2 linked regions of the Styela clava genome follow. The protein of the gene in region 1 binds, or shares a complex with, the protein of each later gene. Links are inferred from orthologs where the notes say so. Each region holds a gene or a part of one and is shown on either strand. Other genes may lie near its edges.

Region 1 (7,587 bases):
CGATGAAATATTGTTCCGTTATAATAATCCTTTTGACATAGCTTCATGAAATTCTCGCAAGTTTTAGGAGTCTGATCGCAGTGTAGTTCAACATTCAGGTTACCGAAGTTTGTTTGTAATCTCACATATCCTTTTGTTTTTACAAATCCGTAACGAACCACATCATCATCCTATGAGTAGTAAATAGTACAGTTTGCACATTCTGATCATTACCTTATATTGTAACAGGAAATAATTGGAAAGATATGATAAAAAGATATATTTTGCTGATTTTTAAAAACAAATTTTTTATAAATATAAACTTTGGATATTGATAAATGTTCTAATAAAGGGAAATGAAGGACGCTAACAAAAATCTATATTTCATAATACATGTAAATCTACCTCTATTTTTCTTTTCAATTCACAGACAAATAGAAAAATTATATATCCCCTTAATTTATAACTCACCAACACTGCGGTTTCAGTTTCAAGTTGTGGAACTGCAGCTGTAGATGTAAATGAAGCAGAAACAGTTCCAGTTGAATAATGAGCCTAAATATACAACAAATGAGAATTTTTTCAGTGAAAATAAAAAATAAATATATATATAAATTGCATATTTAGTTTATTTGCATATGTCCCTGTAGGAAGCACTTTAAATTATATTATCTCTCTTACAGAACTTTTCACCTTTAAATAATGAAGAATAAAAGAGCAAAATAAATAGAAATAATTCGCAAATATACTATGATTGATAATTCTTATTTCAAATATTCAAAACGACATCAATACAACAGTCACAGTGATTAAATAAAGTTATTTTTAATTGATAAAATAAACAAAATTTCACATAAAAAAATTTTGATTTTATGTTCCTACAGCTGCGACCAATGGAATATCATATCAATCACAATACAATCATATAAAACCTAAATTAAATTCATTATATATAAACATAGAGGGAAAAATAAACTCACGGCATTAAATTTATCCACTTTAGATTTTTTCGCAACAGGTTTTTCTTTTAATATTTCGTCTCCCTTATAGGATTTATTCAATTCATCCATAGTTTGCTCTAGTTCTGCATTTGTGCTGTTTAGAAAATATCCAGGCTTTGATCGAAAATTAGCGTCTGAAATTATAAGAGTTATATACAATCAAATCAATAAAACAATCAGATGGACAAATGTGAAAAGCTTCAAAACTTTTGAAGTTTCCCAAATCAATACATCGCATGCTTGCTCCTACGTAAATGACTGATCTCCGAAAGAGGTAACGGAAAGGCAACCACTAAAAGCTACTAAACTATACGAATTATGGTGATGCATTATGCGTTAGTATGAACCAATTAATGCAAGACTCGAAGCGGTTCAATGAGAGCGATTAGGAAGTTAGCTATAAGGTAGGGAACTCCATATAACTGAAACTCTTGAAAAAAAATTGTGACATAAAAGTTTTTTGTATGGTCTGTGAATAGACAAAAGATGAATGAGCTCACAGCCAATTATGATAGCTGATTACAAGAACACAGTCGATTGTAAAATCTGTAAAATAATCAGAGCAAAGAATTTCTTCGATGGGAAAGAATTGCAGTTCGGATGCCAATCTTGATTCAATCAGCTGTGCTATTTAAAAATCATTGCAGGGTGGTAGGTAAGTAAAGAGTCAAAAACAAATAGAACACACCTGCTTCTGGAAGTCTCAAATTGTGTTTGAGATGATGAAATGATTGTAGGTTAAATTTGTCCAAGTTTGTTGGATCCTGAAATAATTATGTTCCATGTTAACAAAACACAGGACATAAGTTGTTAATAATAATATTGAATATAATTCGTTTAATCAAAATAATAAAACACCTGTATTGTTATCAAATCACTTCTCGCAAATATTTCATCTGTGAGCAAATCTCTCCAATTTTTAGGTTTGATGTTCAGTTGTTCAATTGCATCATAAGAATAAACGTTTCCAGTCTTTGAAACAGCCACAATGTGAGTATTTTCGTTAAAAACCTGTATTATTGAAAGATGTCAATATAATTCGAGGTGAATATATTGTTATAATATAGGAAGGCCTACATATAACATTTGTGAGCTTTAAGAAAGTAACAGGCCTATGTTAAAACAGATTATTCATGCAGTTCAAGGGTAAATAATGACTTTTGTGAATTTTTATTGAAGCAATGTAATATAAAACAAAAGCTATGGAAACGAACCTTAAACAAAACTGGGCAGTGATATTTTCCATCCGCATTTTTATGAAAATTAAGTTTCACAAGAGATTTTGCGTCCATTTTCTTCCCCGTGATTGGATTTGTCCCATATTTCTTTAGCCAAGGGATGATGCTCCTGGATTTGAAATAATTAAGTATCATGTTGATGTATGAATGAGATCAAACTTATAAAATTTAATTTTAAACTGTAACTTACAAAAGATCGAAAATATGACCATCTTTGGTACACATTGGGGTATCAAATGGTTGCATAGACAAACTGCAGCAAAAGAATGGGAGTCTGCGAAAATCTGCATTTTCTATTTTCTTCCGATGACCACCATAAAATGCAGACCATTCCTTGCCTGTTATATACCTGAAAAAATAAAATTACAGAAAATACTACATTCTCTTACGGGGAAGATTTTTCTAATTTGTCATTACCATAAACTTAATTCTGCGATTAGACACTAAGAAAAACATGCATTTTAATATACAATGAAATAAATAAAAAAAAACAATATCACATTAATTGTTATCATCAAATATAATTCTAAAATTTTCATTGTCATCGAACATTCCATGATTCTGGGATTTTAGCATCAGTATTACCTAATCCTTTAAAATATTGCATTGCAACTCTTTTCAATTAAAGACTGAACAAAAATTCAATTAATTAAAATAACTAGCTTAACACCTACAGCAGTACCAGCAGTGTATTTTCAAACTTACATCTTATCTGATTGATGTTGCCTCTTCCCCATCTTGCAGTCTCGGCACTTAGCTAATCCAACTGGTTTAAAACAAGCTACAACAAGACTTTCTTCCTAACCAATTGACGAATTCAGGAATTGACAAATTAATACGGTACGGTAACTGTTAATACGAATGATGTATACGGCACCACACGAAATTCTGATAACAATGAAATTTGGAAAGTGCACTTTTTTTTTTTTTAATGTTTCCACAATGTGGATCAATCAATAATTAAAGAATAAATAAAATAATATAGGGATATCAATAAATAAGTGTATACAAGTGACAAAACAAATACATCATCAGCACTTCAGCAGAGTAGTTGTTCCATAATAGTCCATTTTTCCATTGGTATATCCAGTATGTATTTTGAACATTAATCATTAATACAATATTTATTCATTAGCATTAATTATAATCATGAAGTGCACTTTTTGCAGTAGCTTTATTTACAGACTTGGATCCAGCGTAGTTTTTGACTCTGTAGCTCTAGCTCACGGTAAGTTACCGTGAGCTAGAGCCGTTACCGTCGGTAACCGTGTGCGCGTTAGTACAGCCAAAAAATTACACAGATTTTTGTGGCGTATTTTGAGAGTGCTTTTCGGAATTGAAGTTTGATAAGATGGTTCATTTTTGGTTTATAACCATCATATTTGAAGTATCCAAATTCAATTTAAAAGCACCGGTATCCAAACGATAGTTAATTCATAAAAGTGAAAGTGTATCGGAAATTTTTAGAGATTGAATACCGAAACCAAACTAGTCGGATGACAAAATGACTTGTAACTAAATTTTGGCAACGCAACTAAATACAGTACTGACAATTATCACGCGAAACCTTGAAAGTGAGCCAATGTTTATAACGATGGGTGCAAATATATCTACGTGAAAATAGTGTCGCATTTCATTTATTTAGCTTATACATTGTTTGCTTTTTTCTGAGTTGTCATTCATACGGAAATGAACAAGAAAAACGATGATGGAAAGAAATATCTTTTGCCAAGGACTGAATGCTGGACGCATAAGTTTCCATAAACGACCTGCAATAAAATTCCAAGGAATACATTTATTGAAGAATGAAAAACTGATTGATCAGCAACTGTTGTTGCTGTGTGGCGTACCGGTGGTAGCATACTTACTGAAGGTGGATGCGTGGTTTTGTTTGTTTCGTTGTTTTTCGCTAACATTATTAGCGGTTAATTGCTACAATTTGTTACGTGTGAGCCCCAGACGCCAAAAGGGCGCTTAACATAAAGTCCTTTCTATTTATTGAATTGAAACCGATTTTTAGACAGACACCGCGTGCACTCTCGATGACAATATATATAGTCAATGAAGACAGCCGGGATGGTTTTAAATGTGTGCCTAATGTAAAATCGGTAAATTTGAAGTTGAAAAAAACACAGCTACGGCCTTTGGAGGCGTCCCGCTTTGAGGTCACAAAAATATGGTAACCCCAAGTTTACAGCAATCCTTTTGGTTTTGTTATAAGCAAACAAGTAGGTCTAAAGAATAAATGCAAAAGGTCAACTCTTCTTCCTCCGTCTCTGCCTGGTTTTACCATGAAATGCTGAAAAATTACATCATGTTCGCTAAATTCAATTCAGCAGATAAATAAACTGCAGCTCGCGAAATTGCAGCAAGTACTTTTATCTCCATTAGAGGTAACATTGGAGGCAAACACTACGTGATGGAAAGTAAACGACATAGTCAGGTAAAAATTGTGAATTGGTGAATTTATTGATTCATATACACAGCATTTAAATTAGGAAACAATAAAAAATTTATATTAAATGCAATATGTAAAATATTCAATCATATTTCAGGTATGTTTAACCGTAGTAGTATATATTTACGGTTTAACACAATCCTGTTAGTTTTCGCGGCGCATTTGGCAACTCGTCACGGCAAACCTATTGGGAACCGCTACATTACACCGTTTTTCTTTATCAATTTTAGCTTTCCATTTTTTGGTGTTCCGTGAGGCGAGATAAAAATTCTAAGTGTTTCGTGGCCGAAAAAGTTTGGGAAACGCTGGTGTAGACAATACCCAAAACCGTGCATGGGTTAGAACTGAAGGTAATATGTGCTGTGACGTTCTACTGTGATCAGCGTCTGATGACAACATCAAAGTGTAACAATGCAAGTGTCATTTTTATTAGCTACCGCCGCCGACTTTGTCACCGTTTCTAAGCGACTCCATTTGATATGCTTCACTTCAATATAAACCGATGATGAATGTGTATAGTATACAATAATATTCAATGCAAGTTGGAAAAGCGAGTTACCATGCTAGGTGTTTTGTTAATAGGGGGAAAGGAAGGTATATACATCTTATCATCTGACTTTTTATATTATCTATTTAATGAATTATTAAATTGTAAGAAGACTCAATGGACAATATGCTACTATAAATGCTGATAATTGATGTCCGACTTTGCTTTGTGAATTGTGATGTACTTTTACAATTGTATTTTTCGTCCTTTGAGCGTCCATTCCGTACCTTTAGCGAAATTTATTTTTGCGCAGTAACGAATAAGTGAAAGGAACGACGATTGTAAAAGGACTATCATGTTATCTGCACAAATATCGAACGACATCAGAGGCAAGCCCACATTCAAGCTATGGCAATACCTCAGGCTAGGTATGGTGTGAATATAATTTATTAGGAGCAAAGCACCGTGTGTACATAGGAAAATTCTGTCGAGACAGGTTGTCAAGAAAAAGAAAAGAACTGCGATGGATAGAGAAGTCCCGTATATGAAGGTGTGCAGATTGCTCTGTAAAAAGTAATGGAAGTGAGCCAAGCAAAAAACGCCACCATTAAAGAAGTATCTCTGTAGAGACACAGCTGGAGAAGTCAAGAGGGGAAGGTGTCAAGATTGCCATGCAAGACTAGCAGCATGCAATAGAAGTAAGAAAGGGTACCGACATAAAGAAAAGACCACGACCGAACAAAAAGGTGTGAAAGTGGAACGGGTGTAAAAGGCATCAATGGAAAAGTAGCTAATAGTTCTGTGTCGACGCAGATGACCGGGTCTGTGAAAGAGGTAAGAGGACCTACACGAAAATTAAGAAGAGTGAAAGGTTCTTCAGTTTGGGGAAATGGAGCTAGCGAAAACCGTAAACTCAGTAGTAGTTAGCGAAGCAAAAAGAGTAGTAAGCGCCACGCAGAACCAACGATGGTGTAAATAAAGTCAGTCAAAAATTTTCCCTAGCCTGAAATTATTTAGAAGAAATTACGAAGATTGTGAGAGGGCAGTTTTTGCTTTTACCAAACATTTCTTCCACGGTTATGCTGTCTAAATAAATTTTGTTTCCGAAGTTTGAATGCAATACCTTAATTGTTCATACTCACGGCATTCGGGCGCAGAGGATTGCCGAGTCATTAGAAGAGCAACATTAGTGATAATATAATTGATCCACATTTATTCGGCCATCGTCGGACCTATAATTTAACAACAGACTTGGTGCGCTGGAGAGTACGCGTCATTATTACACGGAAGAAATATTTGTACCTTTCAAATTATCAGCTTATGTGTGCACGTTTTCAAATCTTTTTTTATCCTCCCAAAATCCCGGGATTGTTAGGAAAAACCACCAGGAAATCCGTATTCCGAAATTTTAAATTTGCATCCAAAATCCCACAACGACCAATGCTTCGGCGAAAGTATGCAAAATCACGGTATTGGGTATTCGATTGTACAATACAATTGTAGGTATGAATTTGACGATTAAAGACTTTGTTGAACGTTCTCAACTATCTGATTAGAGTGGTATATGGAGAAATGTATTTTGTGAGTGAGTATAGTGACTTCATTTATGTGTAGGCCGACCTTACCTCGTAGTATTCCGGTTGTTAGATTGTCGATTTTAACTGCAATATGTGGACTTTATTTTGAATTTGTTATTAAACAAGAGAGCTATGCTCAAATATATGGACACGTAGCGCCACCCAATGGCAATAATTTTGATGACGTCATAGCGAAAAAAAAAGTAATAGCCTTCTGGAGAAAAATTTTATCTTCAACCACTGAAAATTTCAAAGCAATTGGTCCAGTATTCGAAGAGAAAAGCGACTTTTTAAAAACGTGTCAAAGAACAACAACAACAAGGATAACAAGAACAAGAACAACAACAACATAATATTGAAACGATCGTTATGTCCACTACGTGTCCAAAAAAAACATCCCTTTTTTATGTTTACGCCTTACCCTATCCCCGCGTATGATCGTGGCTGATGAATACAAACGCCTTGGGCGATCGAGCGTGGTGTCGTTTCGCTAGAGTAGTTCATCGTATCTTACGTAACTTGTTATTCTCGCGAGCTCGCGCTTCAGACAATTGTTTATTTTCTACGCATCGCCACGCAAAAGTCGAACCACAACGGTCGGGAGTCCAAGTAGTGGACCTTGTGTCATCAATACGTTACAATAGTTTTGTAGTTTTGATTTGGTCGCGTTAATATCCGGCGTTTTGTGTAAGATTTGCTATATAATAAAAGTAAAAATAAAAGAGTCGTTAGAATAAATAAGCAAAACAAATACAAAAAACAAATACATGGAAAAGGTTAGGCCAACATTGTGACATCACATTCTGACATTACAGCATTTGGACACCACACAGACACACCACCATGT
Region 2 (7,083 bases), on another chromosome or scaffold:
GATAAGAGCTTTGGTGTTTTGGAGGCCTTGGATCCTGCCATGTAGTTGTTTGGTTTCTATGATCAATGAAAAAGGGCCATCCTGTTGCCTCGTCAATCCTCATTTCCCATCCTGATTCAAAACATTATCAAAGCTCAGGACCAGGAAATTTATGGTCAACATTAATAGAAAATTAAGGACATACCTGGAGGAAGTGGATCCATTGATATGTTTGGAGGTGGAGGGGGGTAGTAATTATTAGTCGGATGTGGATACGACATTTTTTTCGTCTGTTTGTACCTAGATATTGAGCTATTCACAGTGTGGTTCAGGCAAATATTGAGTCACTGCAGTGCAGGGTTGGTTAGTACTTCACTATCATTTGTGTTATTGATGAAGGTATATCCAATCAATTTAATGATGGAATGCTTATAAAAGCTAAAAATTATTACTACCCTATTACTGAAAAGACATCATTACAAAACATAAATATAAAAGTGCGATAGAAATTCCATTTTAATACAATTCATCATCTGCAATTGTTAGAAGCAACAATAAAGAGATATTATCACTTGCAGAATACTCGTATTGTCTATTTTTTGTCAAATTAGGAATCGAAAACCGTTCGTTCAACATTGGCAATACTTGGATGACTGATATAAAATTTCTGTGTGTGAACAGTATTTAGTCAATTTATTTTACCATGTTTTAGGAGATTAATTGATAATTATCGAAGCATAAATTTAGAAATCAAATCAGTTAGCAGAGTAGTAGTTTATATCAAAATCATATTATGATAAACTTGTTGATATAAGATTGTTTTTTATCCAAAGGCATCAGGTTATAGAAAATGAACAAAATTACAAATCGTATCTAAATTTATAAAACACATATCTAAATGATAAGGTTTTCGAATTCCAATAAAGGCATCCAAAATATATTGAAAACGCTGTAACATCTTACCATCAACCTAACGGCAAAATATAATTAATGCTTTTTATTTTGGGCAAAATTAAAACATCATACTGGCTTCAACATCGCCAGTATACTCGCACATTTCTTCAAAAGCAACCCGAACCACAACATCTCTATCTTCAATTAACTGAACCAGAGCTTCACAATTTGCTTTATCTTTTTCTAGAATTTTAGCAAGTTTCCCTGAATGTTTCGATTTGAATTTTGATTTCACTATAATTATATAAGAATCGGAAGCTGATTTTGGAATAACTGTTTCTAACATTGATTCTTCAATATCATCCAACAATCTACCATCTGTCGTTTTGCAGCAACAAAGTCCACCACCTAAAACATCTTCAATAATTACTTTTTCAAGATAGTATCTGCCTTTTTTGTACGATTTATCAACAATTCTGACTCTCATTTGAGGTTGTACCCAATGCGAGAGAGTAGAATTTGAGTCTTGTTTTGGAGAAATCTCTCTATTTGACTTATGTTTCTTTGATTTTTTATGTTTTGGTGGTGAATATTCTTTGTGTCTTCTTTTCCTTTTTTCTTTATGCTTCATATCTGTATCTTTTTGGTGTGACATAGCTCTGTCAGAACCTGGTGATTCTCGTCTTTTATCATTTTCCTCTGTATTTTTTCCATTACCTATTATAAGCATGTTATCCCCAGTATATGCTTTGCTAAGTCTACTTAAATCCTTCGCATTTTTATCATATTCCTTTTTTGTAACAACTCTAAGACAGTGTTGTCCAATTTGTTCAGATTTACCCCCTATTGCCATTTTGACAATACATCTTGCAGTCTCAATGTCTAGGCCCAAAATGACACCATATTTGTTTCTCAATGCGCCCCTGTGAATGAATACGTTAGCACCTTTTTCAAGTGCTAATTGATTTTCCTCTATATGAGTTTCATCTCGATTTGTAGTCTTAGTTGTATCAGCTTTTATTGGGGTAGCCACATCAGCACCAAGACCTAAACCTTTAGGCCTAACTTGCTGGTGCAACATTTCTGTGTTTTGTTTGAAAGTTCGGCCAATTCCCACTTCAGGTTTCCAACCCATCCCACGCAGTACTGCCATGCCAAATGCAGCCACAGGGATTTGATCATATTGGGCCTCTGATGCTTCATCAGGTCGCAATGATACATCTAGTTTATTATCAGTTTCATATCCCTCGGGCACCTTATTTTTCATAAGAAGTGGCACTGCAAGATTTTCAAAATCTTCTCCGTTTTGATCAGTATCTTCTAAAAATGTTTTAGATTCTGCAAGAATTTCTTTAGCTGCTTCCGCATCAATACTACTGATAACATTTTCTGCTGATGTCTTTTGTTTATTCACAGATGTTGGTATTTTATAAACATTTTGTTTAATTAGGGGTATAACCAAATCCCTTGGTGGTTCTTTCTGAAGTTTAGTTGATTTTATTACTTTTCCTTCTACGGTTTCAAGATAATCCGGCTCTTCATTTTTAGGCTTTTCAACATTCACAACCTTGGATTCTATTTTCTTCTTGAATCCAAAGGAAACTGACATTATGACAAACTCTAAAATATAGCAATAAGAATGGTTAATTTTCTAAGAAAATATAAAATTCAATTTTGCTGTTTGGTATTCACTTCATTCATTTTAAAGTTTACTGATTAACAGATTAAAGAAATAATAAGCAATCAAAAATCAATTTATACTTCAATTGTCTCAACTTCAACTGTCATTTCCTTAGATCTGTAGATTTTGACATATCAAAATGTGTTACCATACAGCCATAGCTTTTCAAGGTAATGTTCAGATGTCTGAGTGTAAAATGACAATAACTTGTACGACGAGTTCAAAATAGATTAGGCTATCTCGATCTGTGATGTGCAACCCCGCATGCGGCTCTCAAATACTCTTCCTGCTGTCCCGCTGCGGCTTTCATTATCCTTTAAAAATCATCATATTCAATGAAAGCTATTTTTATCTCAACCTGATACGGTACCGGTAGTTCAGTAATTTGCTCGTGATTTGAGCTTGGTCTGAAAGCTCAAAGATCGGCTTAGAATATTCTGAGAACTTCCATCGGTCGACTTCACTAACACATAATGTTAAATATGAATTCGATCCATAGCGCCATCACGCGACAGAATAAAGCAGTTGTGACAGGATACTGAGGAGTAAGAACGGAAAAGAACAATTTAGTGCAAGTGATGAGACGGATTAACAATATCGCGTACCACAGCGTCTCGTCCGATCACTAGTTCTTGTCGGGTGTGGGGTTAGATAGTCAGTTATTTGTTTCAGATGCATGGACTCGACGGGTGATGAAGCAGCCTCTACGAACCCACATAGGGTAATCGGAGGTATAACGATAAGTTTATTTCGACTCCATAATCAGCAACAGACGATAAAAAAATTGATAAAAACAAAATAATTAAAACTGATTATAGAATTGGAAAAGTAAACCAAACCTCAAGTAAGGTTTGAAGCGTACAGATTTTAGGTGGGAAGGTATTGATACAAGAAGTAGTGCGTGTTCGCTTACCCAAAAGGTGCTATTGTCACGGACTAAACACTAAAGTGTCCGTGTTTATATGGACCTTTCCCCGCCCTTTGACCCCCGTAAAATTCTTCCTATACTTTACCATTGCAAAATTTTCAGTGCTATTTTCGGAGTGCTTTTGCGAGTTAGCGCCTGTAAAATGGGGTATGTGTTTCAAACCATCATTATGCTTCATCGCACACAACAATCTGTTTTTTAAAAGTACCGGTAAAAAATTTCAGGCTAGTCTATCACAGCTATTTCTACACTAATTTTTATTACTGCAATTAAATTAAAACTTCTAGGAAGACAGAGTGGTCATTGAATTATCTGATTTTTATTTAAGTTTCCGAAACACAACTGAAAACAAACGAATAGGGTTCAAAAACGAGGTTTACAACCACGCTTGAAAATCTGTCTGAGTGAGAAAAGTGTCTGAGCGGATGGGAAAAGGGGGCATTGTTACGTCACTTTTTGCATCTTGCTGATTGGCCAATGTCACGAAGTAAACACGGAAGTCGATGCTCGGGGAAAGGTCCATTGTGTGTATATATTTTTTTTATGTTTATAGACTAGTATGTTTACCCTTGTTTAATGCTGTTTTGTCGGATCTGGACTCCGACCACTGACACGTAAGAAAAAAACTACCTATGTCTTTTCCCCTTTTTTCTGCGGCTGCTGCGCTGGCGGGCGGTCGTGTTTTTTAGTTCTTTAGTGATGTAATCTGTTATGCTGTTTTAAGTTTGATATTGGAGTTGCCGTGCAATAAACAACCAATCCTGAATTCTTGAGTCTTCTGATTCATCTACATTCTACAACCACAGAAGCAACATTTTTTTTACCGTGACACTATGACAAGTGAATGCGATGCGCCATCGGCCGCGCCGATCAGCCTGGCTTATTTAGACAAAAAATGAAATAAACCTACTCGATTTCGTTGAATCAATGAGCATATATGCTCATTGGTTGATTAAAGCGTGACATGCTTTTTTTTGTCTTTTGAATGCTGTTATTTGATATTACTGCTATATTTTGTGTTTTAACTTTGGAGACACCGAGACGCTACGGCACTGTCACTCTTTCTTTTGTTATCCTGTTAGAGAAGGCTGTGGATTGCAGTAATGTAGCTGCGGTTGTTTCAGTTAGATTTTTAGTGTTCTTGGGTCTTTTTAAGTCTGTAAAATTGTCCCTAGTTCTTAAATAGGTGACCTAATGTGTTTAAATCTGGATAGGCTTAGATATTGTTATGTTAGTCAATAGGATGATACCGGTATAGCAAAGGGTTCCACTGGAACATGTGATGAGGGGTTATGTTCAGGCCGGAACGACAACCGGATAAATTTGATTGATCGAAACATTTGGGCTCATTTTTGTACCATTTTAAGGCTATAGCCGAGTCTAATGGTTGGGATATATGTGGACACGATGGGGGAGTGAATTAGGCATTTGCATGGTAGGCAATGCTCTGAGTCATTGAATTGATTGTGAACGAACGTGAATGCTTTGAGGCTATCGTACGCCATTTTAAAAAGTATTTCGAAGTGAAGGGGGTATTGAAATGCTTCGAGCCGTTTTCGGTCAGTCCGCGAAGCTGGCAAGAGAAACCAATAATGAATTTGGCGGTGCATTGAAACAGCTAGCTAGTCGAGCTTATCCATAATTGAAGCCTTAGGATAAGGATTAAGAATGACTTGGCCAAATCGCAATTTTTGTGAAGGTTATACAAGTTTCATTTCCACATTGGCCTTTGCAATCCGCCATGTTGAAAGATGTAATGTCGTTGGCTACCAGATATTAAAGTTATGAAAGGCCATGGCAAGCCACAAAAGAGGGAACCAAATTTAAGCTACCGTAGCAACCGTAGCAATTTCTAACGATGAGATATTTGGGGCTGATATTACCAACGAGATCCCGTGTATCCCCAAGTTCCATTATCCCTTGTTTCAGATGCGGTCAAGTGGAACATAGAATCAGTGATTGTCGCAGACCACCAACTCTTACACCACCGTCTACGGCTCTAGGCCATGTCCCTACTATAAGCAAACGGGTCATTGGGCACGAGATTTTCCAAATCCAGTTTTCGGTGTGGACAACAGGGACACATATGCCCCCTGGCGCCAAGGTACAGGAGCGCCAAAATTTCACCGAAATTGGAGATTGCAGAATGCTGCTCAGTAACTGAAGGTCAACCAGAAACTCCTTTGGCTTTTCTTGGCTTTATTGTGTCTTTTGGTGACGACGTTTTCCCGAATCTGCGATTTTCTCCACAGATTTTGTTAACAATACCAGTTTCAATTGCATGCTGTGAACGGTCTTTCAGCAAATTGAAACTTATTTTGTCGTATTGGCGTGCATCAATGGGACATGATCGTCTCAGTGATCTAACACTTCTAAGTGTTGAGAAAGAAACATTGGAAAAAACAGATTTTGATGACGTGATTAACCAGTTTGCGACAGTGAAATCAAGAAAAATAAATTTATTGTAGACTATGTAAATCAACTTTGACAGTAACTGAGTGGGACATAATAGACATGTGCTATATTTTGTACAGCTTTACCTCTTCTTTAAATGAAATATTCCATTAAAATTTGAATTGTTTTTTCATATACAATTAAATGTAATAGAAAATATGATTGAACGTGGAGGTCGGAGCGCCAATTTTATAGTTTGCCCCGGGAGCAAAATATTCTGGCTACGCCTCTGCCCGGCGTCTTGGCTGGGCAAGGAGACAAATAGCGGAGGACACTGTTGACAAGATGCTTGAACAAGAAGTGATTGAGCTGAGTGATAGCCCGCACTCGTTACCAATTGTTCTGATACCTAAGAAAGATGGTAGTACGCGTTTTTGTATTGATTTTAGGCACCTAATTCAATTACCTACAGGTCCTACATAGATGGTTCCCCTTTAACTCGAATAGATGACATCGTGGGGTCATTTAGCGGATCAAGCTGGTTCTCAACACTTGACTTAGCTAGTGGATACTGCCAGGTAGAAGTTGATCTGCCTGGCAAAAAGAAAACCGTTTTCAGTCGGGAAATGTTGTTCAAATTATTTGGATGATGTTTTAGCCCACGAATGGGATTTTGACGCCTCATTGAGCAGTTTGAGGGAGATTTTCATTCGAGGTGCTGGTTTGAAACATAAGCCGACTAAACGCCAGTTGTGTTGGCAATCAGTTACCTACCTTGGATACAAAATTTCTTCCGAAGGAGTTTGCTGTGATCTTCCCAATGTAGCAACAATAGTCGAATGGGAAACGCCTCGAGTAATATCAGATCTTAGAAGTTTCTTGGAAACTGCCGACTATTATAGGCGTTTTGTATCTGGTTATGCCACCCTAGCATCTCCTCTGGTTCGTTGGATTAAAAAAACGTGAATTATGAGTGTCAGCTCATATTCTGGCTTTTCGTTTGGTTCAAGGGGAGTTTATTTTGGACACCGACGCGAGTATTACTGGTGCTGTTTTATCACAACTGCAAGGGGGGGGGGACATGCTTATTTCAGTAGGACTCTATCTAAGACGGAACGTCGGTATTGTACAACAGAGAGGGAGCTGTTGGCGATGGTTAAATCAGTACGTCATTTTCGCCATTATCTGTGGGGCAGACACTTTTTGA

Evidence for each region.
Region 2: RING-type E3 ubiquitin-protein ligase PPIL2-like (region 1) and G-patch domain and KOW motifs-containing protein-like share a complex: the UniProt entries of both Homo sapiens proteins name them as parts of the minor spliceosome. The link is inferred for Styela clava from reciprocal best matches to the Homo sapiens genes PPIL2 and GPKOW.

Annotation. Positions count from the first base shown.
Region 1 is NC_135252.1:15,071,248-15,078,834, reverse strand, and holds the start of RING-type E3 ubiquitin-protein ligase PPIL2-like, read right to left. Parts: upstream 3,114-7,587; 5' UTR 2,956-3,113; coding exon 2,924-2,955; intron 2,568-2,923; coding exon 2,409-2,567; intron 2,328-2,408; coding exon 2,195-2,327; intron 1,992-2,194; coding exon 1,839-1,991; intron 1,745-1,838; coding exon 1,669-1,744; intron 1,115-1,668; coding exon 960-1,114; intron 535-959; coding exon 451-534; intron 171-450; coding exon 1-170. UniProt on the Homo sapiens protein: Has a ubiquitin-protein ligase activity acting as an E3 ubiquitin protein ligase or as an ubiquitin-ubiquitin ligase promoting elongation of ubiquitin chains on substrates.
Region 2 is NC_135251.1:15,497,548-15,504,630, reverse strand, and holds G-patch domain and KOW motifs-containing protein-like, read right to left. Parts: upstream 3,028-7,083; 5' UTR 2,483-3,027; coding exon 992-2,482; 3' UTR 443-991; downstream 1-442. Other genes in the region: uncharacterized protein LOC120335364, read right to left, coding at 1-111, 185-260. UniProt on the Homo sapiens protein: RNA-binding protein involved in pre-mRNA splicing. As a component of the minor spliceosome, involved in the splicing of U12-type introns in pre-mRNAs.